Saccharomyces cerevisiae S288C: one gene and its partners. The protein of the gene in region 1 binds, or shares a complex with, the protein of each later gene. Each region holds a gene or a part of one and is shown in the gene's direction. Other genes may lie near its edges. The genes, in order: RPC40, RPA135, RPC10 and RPC19.

The links.
Region 2: the proteins of RPC40 (region 1) and RPA135 are in contact, whole or in part, in a crystal structure (PDB 4C3I), measured with the Saccharomyces cerevisiae proteins. Residues at the interface, in NP_015435.1 of Saccharomyces cerevisiae: Thr61 (codon at 2,310), Ser62 (codon at 2,313), Asn65 (codon at 2,322), Arg68 (codon at 2,331), Arg69 (codon at 2,334), Ile72 (codon at 2,343), Ser73 (codon at 2,346), Gln93 (codon at 2,406), Glu95 (codon at 2,412), Val96 (codon at 2,415), His99 (codon at 2,424), Leu103 (codon at 2,436), Ser150 (codon at 2,577), Gly214 (codon at 2,769), Asp215 (codon at 2,772), His216 (codon at 2,775), Ala217 (codon at 2,778), Thr224 (codon at 2,799), Ser226 (codon at 2,805), Tyr227 (codon at 2,808), Arg228 (codon at 2,811), Leu229 (codon at 2,814), Thr274 (codon at 2,949), Val275 (codon at 2,952), Ser276 (codon at 2,955), Arg277 (codon at 2,958), Glu278 (codon at 2,961), Arg281 (codon at 2,970), Arg293 (codon at 3,006), Arg295 (codon at 3,012); in NP_015335.1 of Saccharomyces cerevisiae: Asn27 (codon at 1,993), Arg743 (codon at 4,141), Gln745 (codon at 4,147), Lys791 (codon at 4,285), Ser792 (codon at 4,288), Glu795 (codon at 4,297), Arg796 (codon at 4,300), Gly797 (codon at 4,303), Tyr800 (codon at 4,312), Thr802 (codon at 4,318), Tyr804 (codon at 4,324), Tyr881 (codon at 4,555), Glu883 (codon at 4,561), Arg906 (codon at 4,630), Arg908 (codon at 4,636), Thr933 (codon at 4,711), Ile934 (codon at 4,714), Asp935 (codon at 4,717), Phe938 (codon at 4,726), Ser939 (codon at 4,729), Glu940 (codon at 4,732), Gly942 (codon at 4,738), Gln944 (codon at 4,744), Ala1001 (codon at 4,915), Gly1004 (codon at 4,924), Tyr1005 (codon at 4,927), Asn1006 (codon at 4,930), Tyr1007 (codon at 4,933), His1008 (codon at 4,936), Pro1012 (codon at 4,948).
Region 3: the proteins of RPC40 (region 1) and RPC10 are in contact, whole or in part, in a cryo-EM structure (PDB 5M3M), measured with the Saccharomyces cerevisiae proteins. Residues at the interface, in NP_015435.1 of Saccharomyces cerevisiae: Ala80 (codon at 2,367), Glu81 (codon at 2,370), Tyr82 (codon at 2,373), Val83 (codon at 2,376), Tyr84 (codon at 2,379), Phe85 (codon at 2,382), Phe86 (codon at 2,385), Asn87 (codon at 2,388), Asn88 (codon at 2,391), Thr89 (codon at 2,394), Asp94 (codon at 2,409), Glu95 (codon at 2,412), Ala98 (codon at 2,421), His99 (codon at 2,424), Gly102 (codon at 2,433), His216 (codon at 2,775), Lys218 (codon at 2,781); in NP_012013.1 of Saccharomyces cerevisiae: Arg60 (codon at 1,934), Thr61 (codon at 1,937), Lys62 (codon at 1,940), Arg63 (codon at 1,943), Leu64 (codon at 1,946), Val65 (codon at 1,949), Gln66 (codon at 1,952), Phe67 (codon at 1,955), Glu68 (codon at 1,958), Ala69 (codon at 1,961), Arg70 (codon at 1,964).
Region 4: the proteins of RPC40 (region 1) and RPC19 are in contact, whole or in part, in a cryo-EM structure (PDB 7Z30), measured with the Saccharomyces cerevisiae proteins. Residues at the interface, in NP_015435.1 of Saccharomyces cerevisiae: Asp19 (codon at 2,184), Phe20 (codon at 2,187), Pro21 (codon at 2,190), Asn29 (codon at 2,214), Glu30 (codon at 2,217), Trp31 (codon at 2,220), Val33 (codon at 2,226), Phe36 (codon at 2,235), Lys37 (codon at 2,238), Phe40 (codon at 2,247), Val42 (codon at 2,253), Asn43 (codon at 2,256), Ile44 (codon at 2,259), Leu47 (codon at 2,268), Phe54 (codon at 2,289), Ile59 (codon at 2,304), Asp60 (codon at 2,307), Ser62 (codon at 2,313), Ile63 (codon at 2,316), Ala66 (codon at 2,325), Phe67 (codon at 2,328), Arg69 (codon at 2,334), Ile70 (codon at 2,337), Glu74 (codon at 2,349), Glu311 (codon at 3,060), Phe314 (codon at 3,069), Phe315 (codon at 3,072), Val318 (codon at 3,081), Arg319 (codon at 3,084), Leu321 (codon at 3,090); in NP_014286.1 of Saccharomyces cerevisiae: Asp43 (codon at 1,989), Arg44 (codon at 1,992), Lys46 (codon at 1,998), Ile47 (codon at 2,001), Lys48 (codon at 2,004), Leu49 (codon at 2,007), Thr51 (codon at 2,013), Phe63 (codon at 2,049), Ile65 (codon at 2,055), Glu68 (codon at 2,064), Asp69 (codon at 2,067), His70 (codon at 2,070), Thr71 (codon at 2,073), Leu72 (codon at 2,076), Asn74 (codon at 2,082), Ala75 (codon at 2,085), Leu76 (codon at 2,088), Arg77 (codon at 2,091), Tyr78 (codon at 2,094), Val79 (codon at 2,097), Met81 (codon at 2,103), Lys82 (codon at 2,106), Asn83 (codon at 2,109), Pro84 (codon at 2,112), Val114 (codon at 2,202), Leu117 (codon at 2,211), Gln118 (codon at 2,214), Lys119 (codon at 2,217), Leu121 (codon at 2,223), Lys122 (codon at 2,226).

Annotation. Positions count from the first base shown.
Region 1 is NC_001148.4:745,199-748,964, reverse strand, and holds RPC40 (DNA-directed RNA polymerase core subunit RPC40), read left to right. Parts: upstream 1-2,129; coding exon 2,130-3,137; downstream 3,138-3,766. Other genes in the region: serine/threonine-protein kinase DBF20, read right to left, coding at 1-1,659; GLD1 (Gld1p), read right to left, coding at 3,392-3,766. UniProt on the Saccharomyces cerevisiae protein: DNA-dependent RNA polymerases catalyze the transcription of DNA into RNA using the four ribonucleoside triphosphates as substrates.
Region 2 is NC_001148.4:576,776-583,110, reverse strand, and holds RPA135 (DNA-directed RNA polymerase I core subunit RPA135), read left to right. Parts: upstream 1-1,914; coding exon 1,915-5,526; downstream 5,527-6,335. Other genes in the region: MRX21 (Mrx21p), read left to right, coding at 1-49; MRA1 (Mra1p), read left to right, coding at 377-409, 553-738; SUT2 (Sut2p), read right to left, coding at 5,753-6,335. UniProt on the Saccharomyces cerevisiae protein: DNA-dependent RNA polymerases catalyze the transcription of DNA into RNA using the four ribonucleoside triphosphates as substrates. Component of RNA polymerase I (Pol I) which synthesizes ribosomal RNA precursors.
Region 3 is NC_001140.6:385,477-388,241, forward strand, and holds RPC10 (DNA-directed RNA polymerase core subunit RPC10), read left to right. Parts: upstream 1-1,756; coding exon 1,757-1,969; downstream 1,970-2,765. Other genes in the region: DSE2 (Dse2p), read left to right, coding at 34-1,011; DCD1 (deoxycytidine monophosphate deaminase), read right to left, coding at 2,312-2,765. UniProt on the Saccharomyces cerevisiae protein: DNA-dependent RNA polymerases catalyze the transcription of DNA into RNA using the four ribonucleoside triphosphates as substrates.
Region 4 is NC_001146.8:410,909-413,735, forward strand, and holds RPC19 (DNA-directed RNA polymerase core subunit RPC19), read left to right. Parts: upstream 1-1,862; coding exon 1,863-2,291; downstream 2,292-2,827. Other genes in the region: YNL115C (uncharacterized protein), read right to left, coding at 1-1,145; DEAD-box ATP-dependent RNA helicase DBP2, read left to right, coding at 2,731-2,827. UniProt on the Saccharomyces cerevisiae protein: DNA-dependent RNA polymerases catalyze the transcription of DNA into RNA using the four ribonucleoside triphosphates as substrates.

The DNA of each region.
Region 1 (3,766 bases):
ACCATTGTAAAGTATCCCGCTTGAACCTTGTTTTCCATCTCTATGCCTAAAAGTAAATCCAACAAGCTTGGAATCAACGGCAGAGTCATCGACCATTGCAGATAATTTGTTCTGTCTTTTGAAGACATCTGCATATTTAGCCATATCTTCTTCATTTGTGAAGTCATCGAAATAACCTGCATCCGTTTCATCATCTAATTGAGGAATAAATGGTGGAGAACTTGTTCTTAGGGTTTCAAAATTGATCTCTGCGAAATAAGACATTTTGCGAACTTGCTCAAAAGATCGTACTCTGTTGATGGGGTCAGCTATTAGTCTTGTAATTAAATCCCAGGTTCTATCTGAGAATGCTGCTCTTCTATCCTCAGTACGGGGCCTTCTTAAAGTTTTTTTCCAATATCTTAAATTCTCGTAAGTTTCATTAGTAGAAGAACCACTAAAAGGTGTATATCCAACCAAACTTTCAAAAAGCATACAGCCTAATGACCAATAATCCACTGTAAAATCGTATTTTTTACCTTCCAGAACTTCTAGGGCCATATAATCAGGCGAACCGACCATAGAGTTAGCGTAATTAATTTCTGTCTTCCTCATGTTATGATATATTTTCCTTCTATCCTCGATAGACCTTTCTGTGAAAGCAGGAAATTCCAAATTCTTTACTTCTTCTAAGCGTATTTTCATGCTTTCGATTCTTTCATTTGATACGGTCCCTGCTGCTAGACCAAAATCGGTCAGCTTGATATGCCCTGTAGCATCAATCAAGAAATTCTCCGGCTTTAAATCCCGGTGAGTGTAACCAAGTTCATGCAACGCGTTCACGGCACAAAACATTTCGCTGATATAGAACCTTGCGTGACCGCTCTTCAATATCCTTGTATTTATTAACAATGTGCGAAAATCACCACCAGGTACAAATTCCATTGCTAAATATAGGCTCTCTGGATCCTGAAATGCATAAAGCAACTTCACAAGCCAGTCAGATCTAGTTGTGGTTAGTATGTCCCTCTCAGTAAGGACGTGATTCGTCTCGTTTAGTTTGAATAAAAGTTTCTTGTTTAATATTTTCAAAGCACAAATTTCATCACTGTCTTTTTTTTTTGCAAGATAAACTTGCCCATAACCACCCTGTCCAACTTGTGTCAGTATCTGAAAATCCTTGTGCTTAGGTTTCAACCTCCTTTTTCTCAGTACTTCGTGTTCTCTTTGCAAATACAAAGCCCATTCTTCATTTAAAACCTTATTAGAAACGTTTTTGACACTTCTTTGCTGTTCAAGATATCTTAGCACCTGCTTCGTACGTTGTCTTCTGCTAATAACATAATCAAACATGTCACAGTAATAGTCGAGAAAGTAAAGTTGGCATACATTAACAACTCTCTGGGTTTTACTTTGGGAAGCACGCTCGTGAAAATCCTTGGGTAGCTTCTTCGGTGAGTGATTCAATGAAATGCGATTTTTGAAGGTATCTTGATCATCTGAATCACACGGCTTATATGATCTTGGAAGTCCGGGAGTTAATCTTCCATTTTCGCTCTTTCTAGCAGGCCTATATTGCGCCTGTGGAGAAGTAGGTTTAGGAATATTCAAATCATAGAACCCTAAATGACTCATATTACCAGCCAAATCATCTACCTCTCGATCACTTCGTGAAAACATGACTACCGAATTATTGTTGAATACGATATTCTGGGTTGCTAATCACTATTGGAGTTACAAGTTTGTTGCGACAATACAGTTCATCATGATCTGTGATCTAGCCGACTACAGGTCCATTGATTTGTGTTTACTCTCAAAATCTTGTATGAGGTGTATGGGTTAATTATCCATTCAAAGACAAAAATTTATGATCTTGGTGTTTGTATATAAAAATTAGTCAGAAGACATGCTTATTCTTGATTTTATATTAATTAGAAAGAGATGTTGCATTATCCCATACTTGTCGTTTGTCTTCTGCTACAATACATTGTGCTTTATGTTGCAAATATTTATTAATTCCGTTTATAGTGACTTGGATTCACAAAAATTTTGTGAAAAAATTATTGCGATGAGTTGAAAGAAAAAATTTCACTCATATTATGTAGAAGAGCAGGTATCAAGTGCATGAAAGTAAGTAGGTGAAAGAAGATATGTCAAATATTGTGGGTATTGAATATAACCGTGTAACGAATACAACCTCCACGGATTTTCCTGGTTTCTCGAAGGATGCAGAAAACGAGTGGAATGTGGAAAAATTCAAAAAGGACTTCGAAGTCAATATTTCGTCATTAGACGCAAGAGAGGCAAATTTCGACTTGATAAACATTGACACATCGATTGCGAATGCCTTTCGTCGTATAATGATTTCCGAGGTTCCATCCGTGGCTGCTGAATACGTCTATTTTTTTAACAATACATCCGTTATCCAAGATGAGGTTTTGGCTCATAGAATAGGCTTGGTTCCATTAAAAGTTGACCCTGATATGCTCACATGGGTTGATAGTAATTTGCCGGACGATGAAAAGTTTACGGATGAAAATACTATCGTTTTGAGTTTGAACGTGAAGTGCACAAGAAATCCAGATGCTCCAAAGGGATCTACTGATCCAAAGGAACTATATAACAATGCCCATGTCTACGCCCGTGATTTGAAGTTTGAACCACAGGGCAGACAATCTACCACTTTTGCTGATTGTCCGGTTGTTCCAGCTGATCCTGATATTTTATTAGCTAAGCTAAGGCCTGGTCAAGAAATTTCGTTGAAGGCACATTGCATTTTAGGTATCGGTGGTGATCATGCTAAATTTTCACCAGTTTCCACCGCTTCTTATAGATTATTACCTCAAATCAATATCTTACAGCCAATCAAAGGTGAAAGTGCCAGAAGATTTCAAAAATGTTTTCCCCCAGGTGTTATTGGTATTGATGAAGGTTCAGATGAAGCGTATGTCAAAGATGCTAGGAAGGATACGGTTTCCAGGGAGGTTTTAAGATACGAAGAGTTTGCTGATAAAGTTAAATTAGGAAGAGTGAGGAACCACTTTATTTTCAACGTAGAAAGCGCTGGTGCCATGACACCAGAAGAAATTTTTTTCAAATCCGTCAGGATTTTAAAGAATAAGGCTGAGTATTTGAAAAACTGTCCAATTACCCAATGATCCTACTTTGCATACTAATAAAAAAAACACAGTTTGAGAAAAATATTAAATACTTAACCTCAGGGTCTTTATCTTTGTATAATCTTTTCTTCTAGTATTAGTAGAATTGGCAAATCCTACCAAAAAAATACAAACCCATGAATCGTCATAGATAAGGAAATGTAATAGAATGATATATGTAAATGTAACTCTCTATAAAATAGTGCCGATAACAGTAATATGCATTACCCCTTATGGACTACATATATATACTATTAGACAGAATTGCTAGCATTCTCATTGTTGTCATTAATATTGCCGTCATTTAAAATGGCATTCATGGTTTTATTTAATGGTATTCGTGCAACTATTACAGAGCCATCGTAGCCATCACTATTTACAGGTTCTAGTCTTTCTGGCTCTTCAAAATCTAAATCTGCCAATACAACACATGTTAGTGAAAATAAAGTAAACTGTACAATAAGTATGCTAAATTCGAACATTACTAATCCAAGATTGCCGGAAAAGTTGCTCTTTGGTAGCCGTTCTCCGATCATCTGTAGAAAAAGCCCACCTCTTCTCTCACCCAAAAGTAGACCATCTGAATTGGAAAAGGGTGAGGGAGTATTCTTAGGGCCATCGTCTACTGG
Region 2 (6,335 bases), 170 kb from region 1:
GAGTTGGCTAGTTTACGAAGTTGTATGTGATTCTGTAAGAAATTGGTGAGCTTGAGGTGACAGGCTTGGGTCAGCGAAAACCAAGTAATGACGCGATCCCTCCGCTGAAGAACGACATCCTGTATATAGCATTAACTTGTCTATTTTTCTTTATATCGGTCTTGCAGTATGGGCCAATCATATCGTACAAAGCGGGGGATTTCCCGTACTTTATGATGAGCATGAGAACAGACTTTAAAGGCATCGCCATCTCCTCAAAAGCAACTATAACTCTTCCCATACCAGTATAAGCTAACTTTGTTTTGAGACTTATTTAATTTTGGTAGTTTCCTGAACGACTTCTGACAATACTTTAAAAAAAGAAAAATATAGAAAAATGAGACCAGCACAGTTACTGTTGAATACAGCTGTATGTTAAGGGATATTTTCTTTTTATTGTGACAAACGGATAATCATGCGTTCATTCTGACTTGATGCTTTCTAAGAAAACAATTATGTTGATTATGAATGCTAACTACAAGATTATAGAGTATTATACTAACAAAAAACTAGAAAAAAACATCTGGTGGCTACAAAATACCCGTCGAATTAACACCGTTATTTCTCGCTGTTGGTGTAGCTTTATGCTCTGGGACATACTTCACATATAAGAAATTAAGAACTGACGAGACTTTGAGATTGACAGGTAACCCAGAATTATCTAGTTTAGATGAAGTCCTTGCCAAAGATAAGGATTAAAAACCATGTTGATGATTTGTTATATTAATATCTACACTTAAAACATTTTCAATAATTGTCGGGAACAAATCGAAATATTATTTATTCTTCAAATATGACAAAACTAATGTATATTATATACATGTCAACACCACCATGACTATATGTTTAATTGATGTATAATCATTCCATTTTTACACGTGCTCTTTCTTGGCAGCGGTTAAGGGAACCTGATGATAGACCATGCAATAAAAAAGAAAGCCCTGTAGGGGGCTCGAACCCCTAACCTTATGATTAAGAGTCATACGCGCTACCGATTGCGCCAACAAGGCTCTTTTGTTGAAATAAAAAACCGAAACATCTTTATCTAACGAATATTTGGAAGGTGAACCTAACGATAAAATACTACACTATTCATATTGACTGACTGTATCAACGACGTTTAACAGCGATTATCTGCTTATCTCAATATGTGGTTAGCGATTACTTGTTCAAGTCGTTGCTTTACGTTTCTTTTGCAGTTTGATTGTTGCCTTCTCGAGGACAAATCAGTTTCAATGACGATAGAGGTTAGCAAAATTACTATATTAGTGAATTAGTAACGGAGACAAAAAGATTTGTTTAACGGCTTCTTTGTAGTCATCCTGCTGTTGTTTTTGTATGTTTAAGCTTCTTCCTCCGATTAAGTTTTGTACATTTACTTCTGTAAGTTAAAGGGCTCTTTTCTCATTATATTTCAAATGCTAAATCATGCCATGAAAACTTCAAAAAAGCATCAAATGAAGGAAGACGCTGATGACATCGAGTGATGAAATTATTCATAAATCTGCATCAGAGTGTTATATCTACAGAAGCAGACATGCTACAAGAGTTCAAAGCACTTAATGGCATTTCTAATAGATTCTCAGCGCCCTTTTGAGTCTCTGCACTACCACTTAATTATCATACCGCAGAAGCGGCCTCTCGGCCTCCCTTCATGCTATAATCGCTAATGACGGAAATTATTATTGAGATTACTCTTGCGAGTGTTTTTTTTTTTTTTTTTTTTTTTTTTTCGTATGAAAAATTTTTCAAGCGCATCTTAGAGACTCATCTCATCTCTTAATTATTCAAACTTACTTCAGCTGTCTCGTAATATTCAAGCAAGTCTTCCTCAAGAATATTGACAAATAAACGTAGAATTACGCATTTGGTGAGATGAGCAAAGTGATTAAGCCGCCTGGCCAAGCCAGAACTGCTGATTTCCGTACCTTAGAACGTGAATCTAGGTTCATCAATCCACCTAAGGATAAATCAGCATTTCCACTATTACAGGAAGCTGTTCAACCTCATATTGGGTCTTTTAACGCATTAACAGAAGGTCCGGATGGAGGTTTGTTAAATCTTGGTGTTAAAGACATCGGTGAAAAAGTTATATTTGATGGAAAACCACTCAATTCTGAAGACGAAATATCCAACAGCGGATACCTCGGGAATAAGCTTTCTGTTAGTGTGGAACAAGTGTCTATTGCGAAGCCAATGTCTAACGATGGTGTTTCTTCTGCAGTAGAGAGAAAAGTTTACCCAAGTGAGTCAAGACAAAGGCTTACTTCTTACAGAGGTAAATTACTTTTAAAGTTGAAGTGGTCCGTGAACAATGGCGAGGAGAACTTATTTGAAGTAAGAGATTGTGGTGGTCTACCAGTTATGCTACAGAGTAACAGATGTCACTTGAACAAGATGTCACCATATGAACTGGTACAACACAAGGAAGAATCCGATGAAATAGGTGGTTATTTCATTGTTAACGGTATAGAAAAGCTTATTAGAATGCTGATTGTGCAACGTAGAAATCATCCTATGGCTATCATCAGACCTTCCTTCGCTAACAGGGGTGCATCCTATTCTCATTACGGTATTCAAATTAGATCTGTCAGGCCGGATCAAACTTCCCAAACTAATGTTTTGCATTACTTAAATGACGGTCAAGTTACATTTAGATTTTCTTGGAGAAAAAATGAATATTTAGTTCCTGTTGTTATGATTTTAAAAGCCTTGTGTCATACCAGCGATAGGGAAATTTTTGATGGTATTATTGGTAATGACGTTAAGGATTCCTTTTTGACCGATCGTTTAGAATTACTGTTACGTGGTTTTAAGAAAAGATATCCTCATTTACAAAATCGCACACAAGTCTTGCAATATTTAGGAGACAAATTTCGTGTTGTCTTTCAAGCTTCCCCTGATCAATCTGATTTAGAAGTCGGACAAGAAGTCCTTGATCGCATCGTTCTCGTGCATTTGGGTAAGGATGGCAGCCAGGATAAATTCAGAATGTTATTGTTCATGATCAGAAAGTTGTATTCCTTGGTTGCAGGCGAATGTTCTCCAGATAACCCAGATGCTACGCAACATCAAGAAGTTCTTTTGGGTGGTTTCTTATATGGTATGATCCTAAAAGAAAAGATTGATGAGTACTTACAGAATATTATTGCTCAAGTCAGGATGGATATTAACCGTGGTATGGCCATTAATTTCAAAGACAAAAGGTACATGTCAAGAGTTTTAATGAGGGTTAATGAAAACATTGGTTCCAAAATGCAATACTTTTTATCAACTGGTAACCTGGTGTCCCAGTCTGGGTTAGATTTACAACAAGTTTCTGGTTATACTGTGGTTGCAGAAAAAATTAACTTCTACCGTTTTATCTCTCATTTTAGAATGGTTCATAGAGGCTCCTTTTTTGCGCAATTGAAAACTACCACAGTCAGAAAGTTGCTACCTGAGTCGTGGGGATTCCTGTGCCCTGTTCATACACCAGATGGTTCTCCTTGTGGTTTATTAAACCATTTTGCGCACAAGTGTCGTATATCAACTCAGCAATCTGACGTCTCAAGAATTCCTTCTATATTATACTCACTTGGTGTTGCTCCGGCATCTCACACCTTTGCTGCTGGTCCTTCTCTGTGTTGTGTTCAAATTGATGGTAAAATTATTGGCTGGGTCTCTCATGAACAAGGTAAGATCATTGCGGATACATTGAGATATTGGAAAGTTGAAGGCAAGACGCCTGGGTTACCGATTGATCTAGAAATTGGATATGTTCCTCCCTCAACTCGTGGTCAATATCCAGGTCTCTACCTATTTGGTGGTCATTCTAGGATGCTGCGTCCTGTTCGTTACCTGCCTTTGGATAAAGAAGACATTGTTGGACCTTTTGAGCAAGTGTACATGAACATTGCTGTCACTCCTCAAGAAATTCAAAATAACGTTCATACACACGTAGAATTTACGCCCACAAATATTCTTTCTATTTTGGCTAATTTGACTCCATTTTCTGATTTCAACCAGTCTCCAAGAAACATGTATCAATGTCAGATGGGTAAACAAACAATGGGTACTCCGGGTGTAGCTTTGTGCCATCGTTCCGACAATAAGCTGTATAGGTTGCAAACAGGTCAAACGCCTATCGTAAAAGCTAATTTATATGATGATTATGGCATGGATAACTTTCCAAACGGGTTTAATGCTGTTGTTGCGGTCATCTCGTATACTGGTTATGATATGGATGATGCAATGATTATAAACAAATCAGCAGATGAAAGAGGTTTCGGTTATGGTACTATGTATAAGACTGAGAAAGTGGATTTAGCACTTAACAGAAACCGTGGTGACCCAATTACACAGCATTTTGGTTTCGGGAATGACGAATGGCCAAAGGAGTGGCTTGAGAAATTAGACGAGGATGGTTTGCCATACATTGGCACTTATGTTGAAGAGGGTGATCCAATCTGCGCATACTTTGACGATACTTTAAATAAGACCAAAATCAAGACATATCACTCCTCTGAACCAGCATATATCGAAGAGGTAAATTTAATCGGTGATGAATCCAATAAGTTCCAAGAACTACAAACTGTTAGCATAAAATATCGTATTAGAAGAACGCCTCAAATTGGTGATAAATTTTCTTCTAGACACGGTCAAAAAGGTGTTTGTTCAAGAAAATGGCCAACCATTGATATGCCTTTTAGCGAAACAGGTATCCAACCAGACATCATCATTAACCCTCATGCTTTCCCTTCGCGTATGACCATTGGTATGTTCGTCGAATCTTTAGCAGGTAAAGCGGGGGCATTGCATGGTATTGCACAGGACTCTACACCTTGGATCTTTAACGAGGACGATACCCCAGCCGATTACTTTGGTGAGCAACTAGCGAAGGCGGGTTACAACTACCATGGTAATGAGCCAATGTACTCAGGTGCTACTGGTGAAGAATTAAGGGCAGATATTTATGTTGGTGTTGTCTACTACCAAAGATTACGTCATATGGTCAATGACAAGTTCCAAGTTCGTTCCACTGGTCCTGTGAATAGTTTGACTATGCAGCCTGTCAAAGGTAGAAAGAGACATGGTGGTATTCGTGTCGGTGAAATGGAAAGAGATGCTTTGATTGGGCATGGTACATCTTTTCTATTACAAGATCGTCTGCTAAATTCATCAGACTACACACAGGCATCCGTATGTCGCGAGTGTGGTTCTATTTTGACCACGCAACAGAGTGTGCCAAGAATTGGTTCGATTTCCACCGTTTGTTGCCGTCGTTGTTCCATGAGATTCGAAGATGCAAAGAAGCTATTGACTAAATCAGAAGATGGAGAGAAAATTTTTATTGACGACTCTCAAATTTGGGAAGATGGACAAGGTAACAAATTTGTTGGTGGTAATGAAACAACTACGGTGGCCATACCATTTGTGTTGAAGTACTTGGACTCTGAGCTATCCGCAATGGGTATAAGATTGCGTTATAATGTAGAGCCCAAATAGAGAAATACCCTTCTTTCCAAATTGATATAGAATGGTAAATGAAGGCTTGGTCAATTGTATCATATAGAGGTTTTTTATTGAATTACTTATACAAGAGCGCCCCGCAATAGAATATATATGTATGAGTAAACAAATTTATATCTTGCAGAAAAATATCTAACTTATTATTGGTGCGTTTTATTAATATTCCTATATTTTACATAGGAGGAAATTACATGCATGAAACCTAAAGGGTTTGGAAGCCAGCGGCAACATAATCATCGACAGTCATCTCGAAGATACTTTTGTCTTTAAGTTTACTATTTATCTTGGGAAATACGTTCATATCAGATTTTGTAAATCCTCTCGAAAAAAGACACTTTCCATTTTTTTGGTTTCTTCTACTGCAAGAGGTGCAGGCTTTGAAAAGGACTATTTTATCAAGGTGTTTTATGACTTCATATGTGCCCATCACGTCAGGCAGTTTCCTGAAAAACTTCATTCGAAACTGGTTTATGTCGTCTTGGGAAAGTGTATAATGCAAATTTGAAGAAATTGATGAAATTAGGTTCCTATCCTGTAAAAAGATAATGATTGTTGCATTGCATTTTATTTTCTTTATCCTACAAGAGTCACAACTTGGGCCGTCCCTCTGACGTTTTCTTTTGAGTCTGTTCGTTGCTATAGATGAAACAACCGCTGAATCGGTTGTTTCGCCGGAAGAAACAGTTTTATAGTATTCAGTGTACTCTGTTGGGCAACCAAGCTTGGGAAGCTTAGTCTTTTCGGATTCTTTTTGCCAATTACTATAACTGTGGTCTGCACATTGA
Region 3 (2,765 bases), on another chromosome or scaffold:
AATAAAGCCACTCCTTTAACAAATTACAAAGAAATGAAATTTAATTTTTCTACAATTTTCAATATCTTATTCTTTTTATTCACCTTAATTGAAGCCAACAGCAATGGGGAAACAGTCAAACTTATTACTTCTGATGGTATTGTTTACAGTTATGCTGTCTACACAAAGACTCTTGCGCCGGCAAGGGTTGTGGTTAAAACGATTTCATATACTACTACAAGGGTATATCCGATTACTTTAGCTAATTCCGTCGTTTCTTCCACTACTGAAAAGATAACAGAGGTTTCAACGGTGTCAGCTTCAGAACAAGTTAGTGCTACTCAAACAAACTCATTGGTTTCTACTTCTACTGTTTCCACTATCAGTCCAACGATTTCATCTGGTTCTTCAACATCCTCTAGCTCTACATACGATATCGAATCATCTCAAAGTATCGAATCGTCAGGTACATCTTCCGCTACAGCCGAACCATCTGCGTCTTCAGGTTTTCGTTTGACTTCTAGTTCTGCTTTTGTTTCATCTACTGCACCTTTCTCTTCCCAACTTTCTTCATCTTCATCTTCTGAAACATCATCCTCATCATTTTCAACATCATCATCATCTGCCCCTCTTTCCTTAACTTCTTCTTCTTCTTCTTCTTCTTCTTTCGCCACTATTATTACCTTGGCACCATCGAGCTCAAAAAGCGGAAACTCTCAACTAACTTTGGCGTCATCGTCTTCCACTTCCGCAGTTGAGTCATCCCAAACAGGGTCCACTATAGCAAGAACTACCTCTACACTGGTACCCTCTTCTAGCGTAGATACAACGTCTAGAGCAACGACATCCATGCCATTAGAATCGTCTTCTACGCAATCGATATCCGTCTCCAGCTCGGATGGCACTTGTTACGTTTTTTATGATGATGATGACTACTATAGTACTGTCTACTTAACTAACCCGTCTCAATCCGTTGATGCCGCCACCACTATAACTAGTACAAACACAATTTATGCTACGGTTACCATTTAGCGCTTAGGCATAATGGTGGTGCATTCTTTTCTATTTGTTTTCTCAGGCGTATTTTTTCCATTATTTTTTGTTAAAAATAGTAAAAAGACAGTATTATTTATTCATTTTTCCTCGTGTTGTTATAACGACTAAGTTTCCTAATTTCTTTATTTTGTTTTTTTCTCATGATCTTTTCATTTTGTAGTTTCAACTATTATATACAATGTGTATACTATAACTTAATTTTATTAGTTACCTCTTACTAAGGATACTGATTCTTCCCCACTCATTTCATGAATTCATCACAAGTCTTTAGTATTTTTCATATGGAAATTACATCACCTATATATATCAAAATGTTCCGGCGAGTACATTGTCAGAATCTACAGTTTTTCCTGATATGAGCAGTGATATGGAGAAAGAGACACTAAATAAGAACAAAATATTGCCGTAGATTTAATGATTCAATCATGTGTGTCAAATTTGTTCTCCATTGCATCTTCCTATTTGACATTTGTCTCATGACCACGACATTGTACATTACCAGGTAAGGCTACAATTAGCCTCACCGATGTAACGTTATATAACGCTGCGGTCGTAGAATATGATTTTTCTGAATTTTAATTTTTTTTTTTTTTTTTTTCATTTCTTTAACATCTAAAATAGATTTTAGAATCAGAAAAGTGAAGAGTATTCCACATCATCGACTTATTCTACCAACATTTAATAAGAACGTACCCAAGAATAAAAGTCCACAAGTATAACAATGTCTCGCGAAGGGTTCCAGATTCCAACAAATTTAGACGCCGCAGCTGCAGGTACTTCTCAAGCTAGAACGGCAACTTTGAAGTATATTTGTGCTGAATGTTCTAGTAAATTATCTTTATCCAGAACTGATGCAGTCCGTTGTAAGGACTGTGGTCATAGAATCCTGTTGAAGGCTAGGACTAAGAGATTGGTTCAATTTGAAGCTAGATGAATGGAGAGACTGAAAACCATAATGGGTTACCGGGGCAGAATAATACGAAATAAAGAACCTAGGTTTTCCAAGGTTTTTGCAATATATAAACTTGTGCTTGATTTAAGTTTATGCAGCACTTTTCTTCCAGCAAATTCTTTATGTTTTTTTAAGGGAAAACGTATATCACTTAGAGATTATATTAATGAAAAAAGGTGTATACAAATGTATAATAATAATAGTATATAAGAAAAGTATTCGCTATTTATAGTGATTTTAGTTTGTACAATGTACTGTATTTTTTTTAAATGTAGTATTTTATATATATGTTACATTAGTTCGAACTGAAAAGGAACTTATGAATTAAATCATCACAATTCTTGGTTCTTCCGTAAAGCTGAATTGCCGGACGGTTATTCCCGCATTCTTCAAGACCTTGAAACTTTCCTCGTCCATTCTATAACTTTGGCTATAAACTACTTCACTGATGCCTGTTTGAACAATCTTTACAGAACATGTTAAGCAAGGGCAAGTATCACAGTATAAGGTCGCATTTTGACCTACACGATCCCTGCCAGCTTCCAGTAGTGCATTCTCTTCTGCATGTAAGCATAAGCAAGTGTGCAGATTTCTAGAATCACCGTCATTGCAACGTGGGCAACCGCCATTGAAACAATTTGTTAAATGTCGAGGAGTCCCATTATAGCCAGTAGCAATCACTCTGCATTCTCTCACAATCACGCAACCAACTCTACGTTTCATGCAATTGGAACGAGATGCTGCTAGTGTGGCTAACTTCATAAAATAGCTATCCCAA
Region 4 (2,827 bases), on another chromosome or scaffold:
TATAGACAATATCTTTGAATTTTGTCTAAATGATATAGTTCCTCAATCCAGGTGGCAGAAAGGTAACCAGTATCATAACCTCCGTGTTCAAACAAGATGATAGGTTGCTTCTTATTTTCAGACAAATCTGTGTTGTTTTCTTGATCAAATACGTCACCATAACAAGTTATATGCAACTGATAGGTTTTAGCGGCATCTACGTAATGGAACGCCTCGTACGAGGGCGACTGAACGGTTATTGGTAATTTGTGAGTCAATCTGTAGGTATCCAATGTCGTTAAAAGTGTATTCAGGGTGAATAAAGCGAAGAATATTAAAATTAAAAACTTAATAGTATTCCTGAACCCAATGGATACCCATTCTGTCAATGTATGTTTGTTTTGGACCAGCTGCGAGCGGTGGGTGGGGGTTGGCGACCCAGAGCCATATTGGCTTCTGTCCCTGTTTTCGGTACTATTTGTATGGTTTTCGTTGAAAGTACTAATATTAGCATCATCAATTCTGCGTTCCTCCAATGGCTCATTTATTGAGTTGTTGTAAAACAAGAGATACCAATCTAATATTGCCCCAATAAAAAATGAAAACGAAGTCCACAAATATGTAAACGTGCCCACAAAGCCGATTCTTTGCCTAGTGTATTTAATTAGATAGGTCAATGCTAGATTGAACAACGTCAAAACACAGAGAGTTACATTTAAGCTGTAATCTAAAGCTGAGTACAGTCCCAGCTTATTAAACCAGAGATTGAAAGAATTAGCTATGATCGAGATGAATATTAAAGTCAAGTCGTTAAAACTTGCGTACCTGTTACTGAATCCGAAAAGAATATTGATATTGAAAAAGAAATCTGAAATCAAAGTGGTGACTAGCCAGATGGTGTTAATTAGAATTAGGATATTTAATATCCATTTGGAGTTATGAATAAAGATTCTATAACCTTTGCGAATTTGAAAGAGACTATCTTTGATGAACCCATCGGATTCAATGTCACGACCTTCATTAACTGCTGGGCCATTCGCGGATCCTGCACCAAGGGTCCGGTGGTTGTTGTTCAGCAACGGTTGCGCTTCTGGGTGTTCACTATCTATATCTGTTCTTTCCATTCCCGTCCTTGCCGGATCATTATCTAAACCATTAGCCTTCATGATCTGTTCGCTCTGATGCCTACAGTTCTTTCTTCAATGGCTTTCCTTTCCTTTCCTCCTTATAGAATATAGCAAGGCATCTAACTTTTAGTTTTTCTCTCATCCCTTTAAACTGCACGATGGTTAAAATTAGGGGTCCGAATAGCCTTGCAAGGAATAGATTAAAGAACACTATATATGCATAGCCACTTCAAAACGTGCTGAGAACATGCCATCAAGGTTGACCAATACGATTGCTGATTCGACAACTTCTACATTACATAGGCATATACATATCAGAAAAACGTGCTTTATAGGTACATTTTTTAATTCCTTAAACATAACTTGCTTCTATTTTGGGATAGTTCCTTTTCTTTGAACTACGTTTTTTGGGCAGAAATATAAAAAAAAACCGAAAAAAACGGCACGCAAGAAAGCTTATTCAAAAAGACGCAACAATATCATAGATTATTCTAAGTACCAACAACGTGATAAACTTTGTTCTAATAAAGCTACATCTTATCTCTTCTGTACAGCTTTATTGGGGTGAATCATATTTACTTCAATCCGGGTAATGGTAAACGTAACAAGTGATAGAAATATTCACCTGCGATGAGCTGGAAAAAAAAAAAATTTCAAAAGAAAACCATACTAATGCTGAGGTATAAAGTAACGAATTGGGGAAAGGCCATCAATCCAAAGTCGGAAAAATTGAACTTCACATAAAGTACCAGGCAAATGACTGAAGACATCGAACAAAAAAAGACCGCTACAGAGGTAACACCACAAGAACCAAAGCACATCCAAGAAGAAGAAGAACAGGATGTTGATATGACTGGCGATGAAGAACAGGAAGAGGAACCAGACAGGGAAAAAATTAAGCTTCTCACACAGGCAACATCTGAAGATGGAACTAGTGCCTCTTTTCAAATTGTAGAGGAGGATCACACGCTTGGAAATGCCCTTCGTTACGTTATAATGAAAAATCCAGACGTAGAATTTTGTGGTTACTCGATACCTCATCCTTCTGAAAACCTATTAAATATCAGAATTCAAACCTACGGTGAAACGACCGCGGTGGATGCTCTTCAAAAAGGGCTAAAGGACTTGATGGATTTATGTGACGTTGTAGAATCTAAGTTTACTGAAAAAATCAAGAGCATGTAGATGTTACGGATCGACTCAAAGACCCTCTGTCACTCTGAAATTTCTAATAATTATGCACACCACGCTAGTATAGATACAGCTTGATTTGTGTATCCCGTTTATAGTCGTGCTATTTAAAATCTATGTATAATATAACCAGATAAAAATACACCTTCGTACAAGGTGCTAATAATGTTGAGAATTCGAAATTCCTTTTTAAAGGCGTATTCCGTATTGAATGATTGAAAAATTTATTTCTTTTTTTATTTCTTTTTTTTTTTTTTTTTTTTTTTTTTACGCCGATGCTCATCGCAGAAAATTTTTCCTTCAGTTTATTTGTCTTATAAAAAGACTGTCCTACGCTCAAATAACTTATACTTTTCTGTATCTCATTCAAATTATTTTCTTGTCAACAACCTGTAACAGAATTAAGCACTATTAAGGCAAATTTAGAGCAAATATGACTTACGGTGGTAGAGATCAGCAATATAACAAGACTAACTACAAGTCTAGAGGTGGCGACTTCCGCGGTGGAAGAAACTCTGATAGAAACTCTT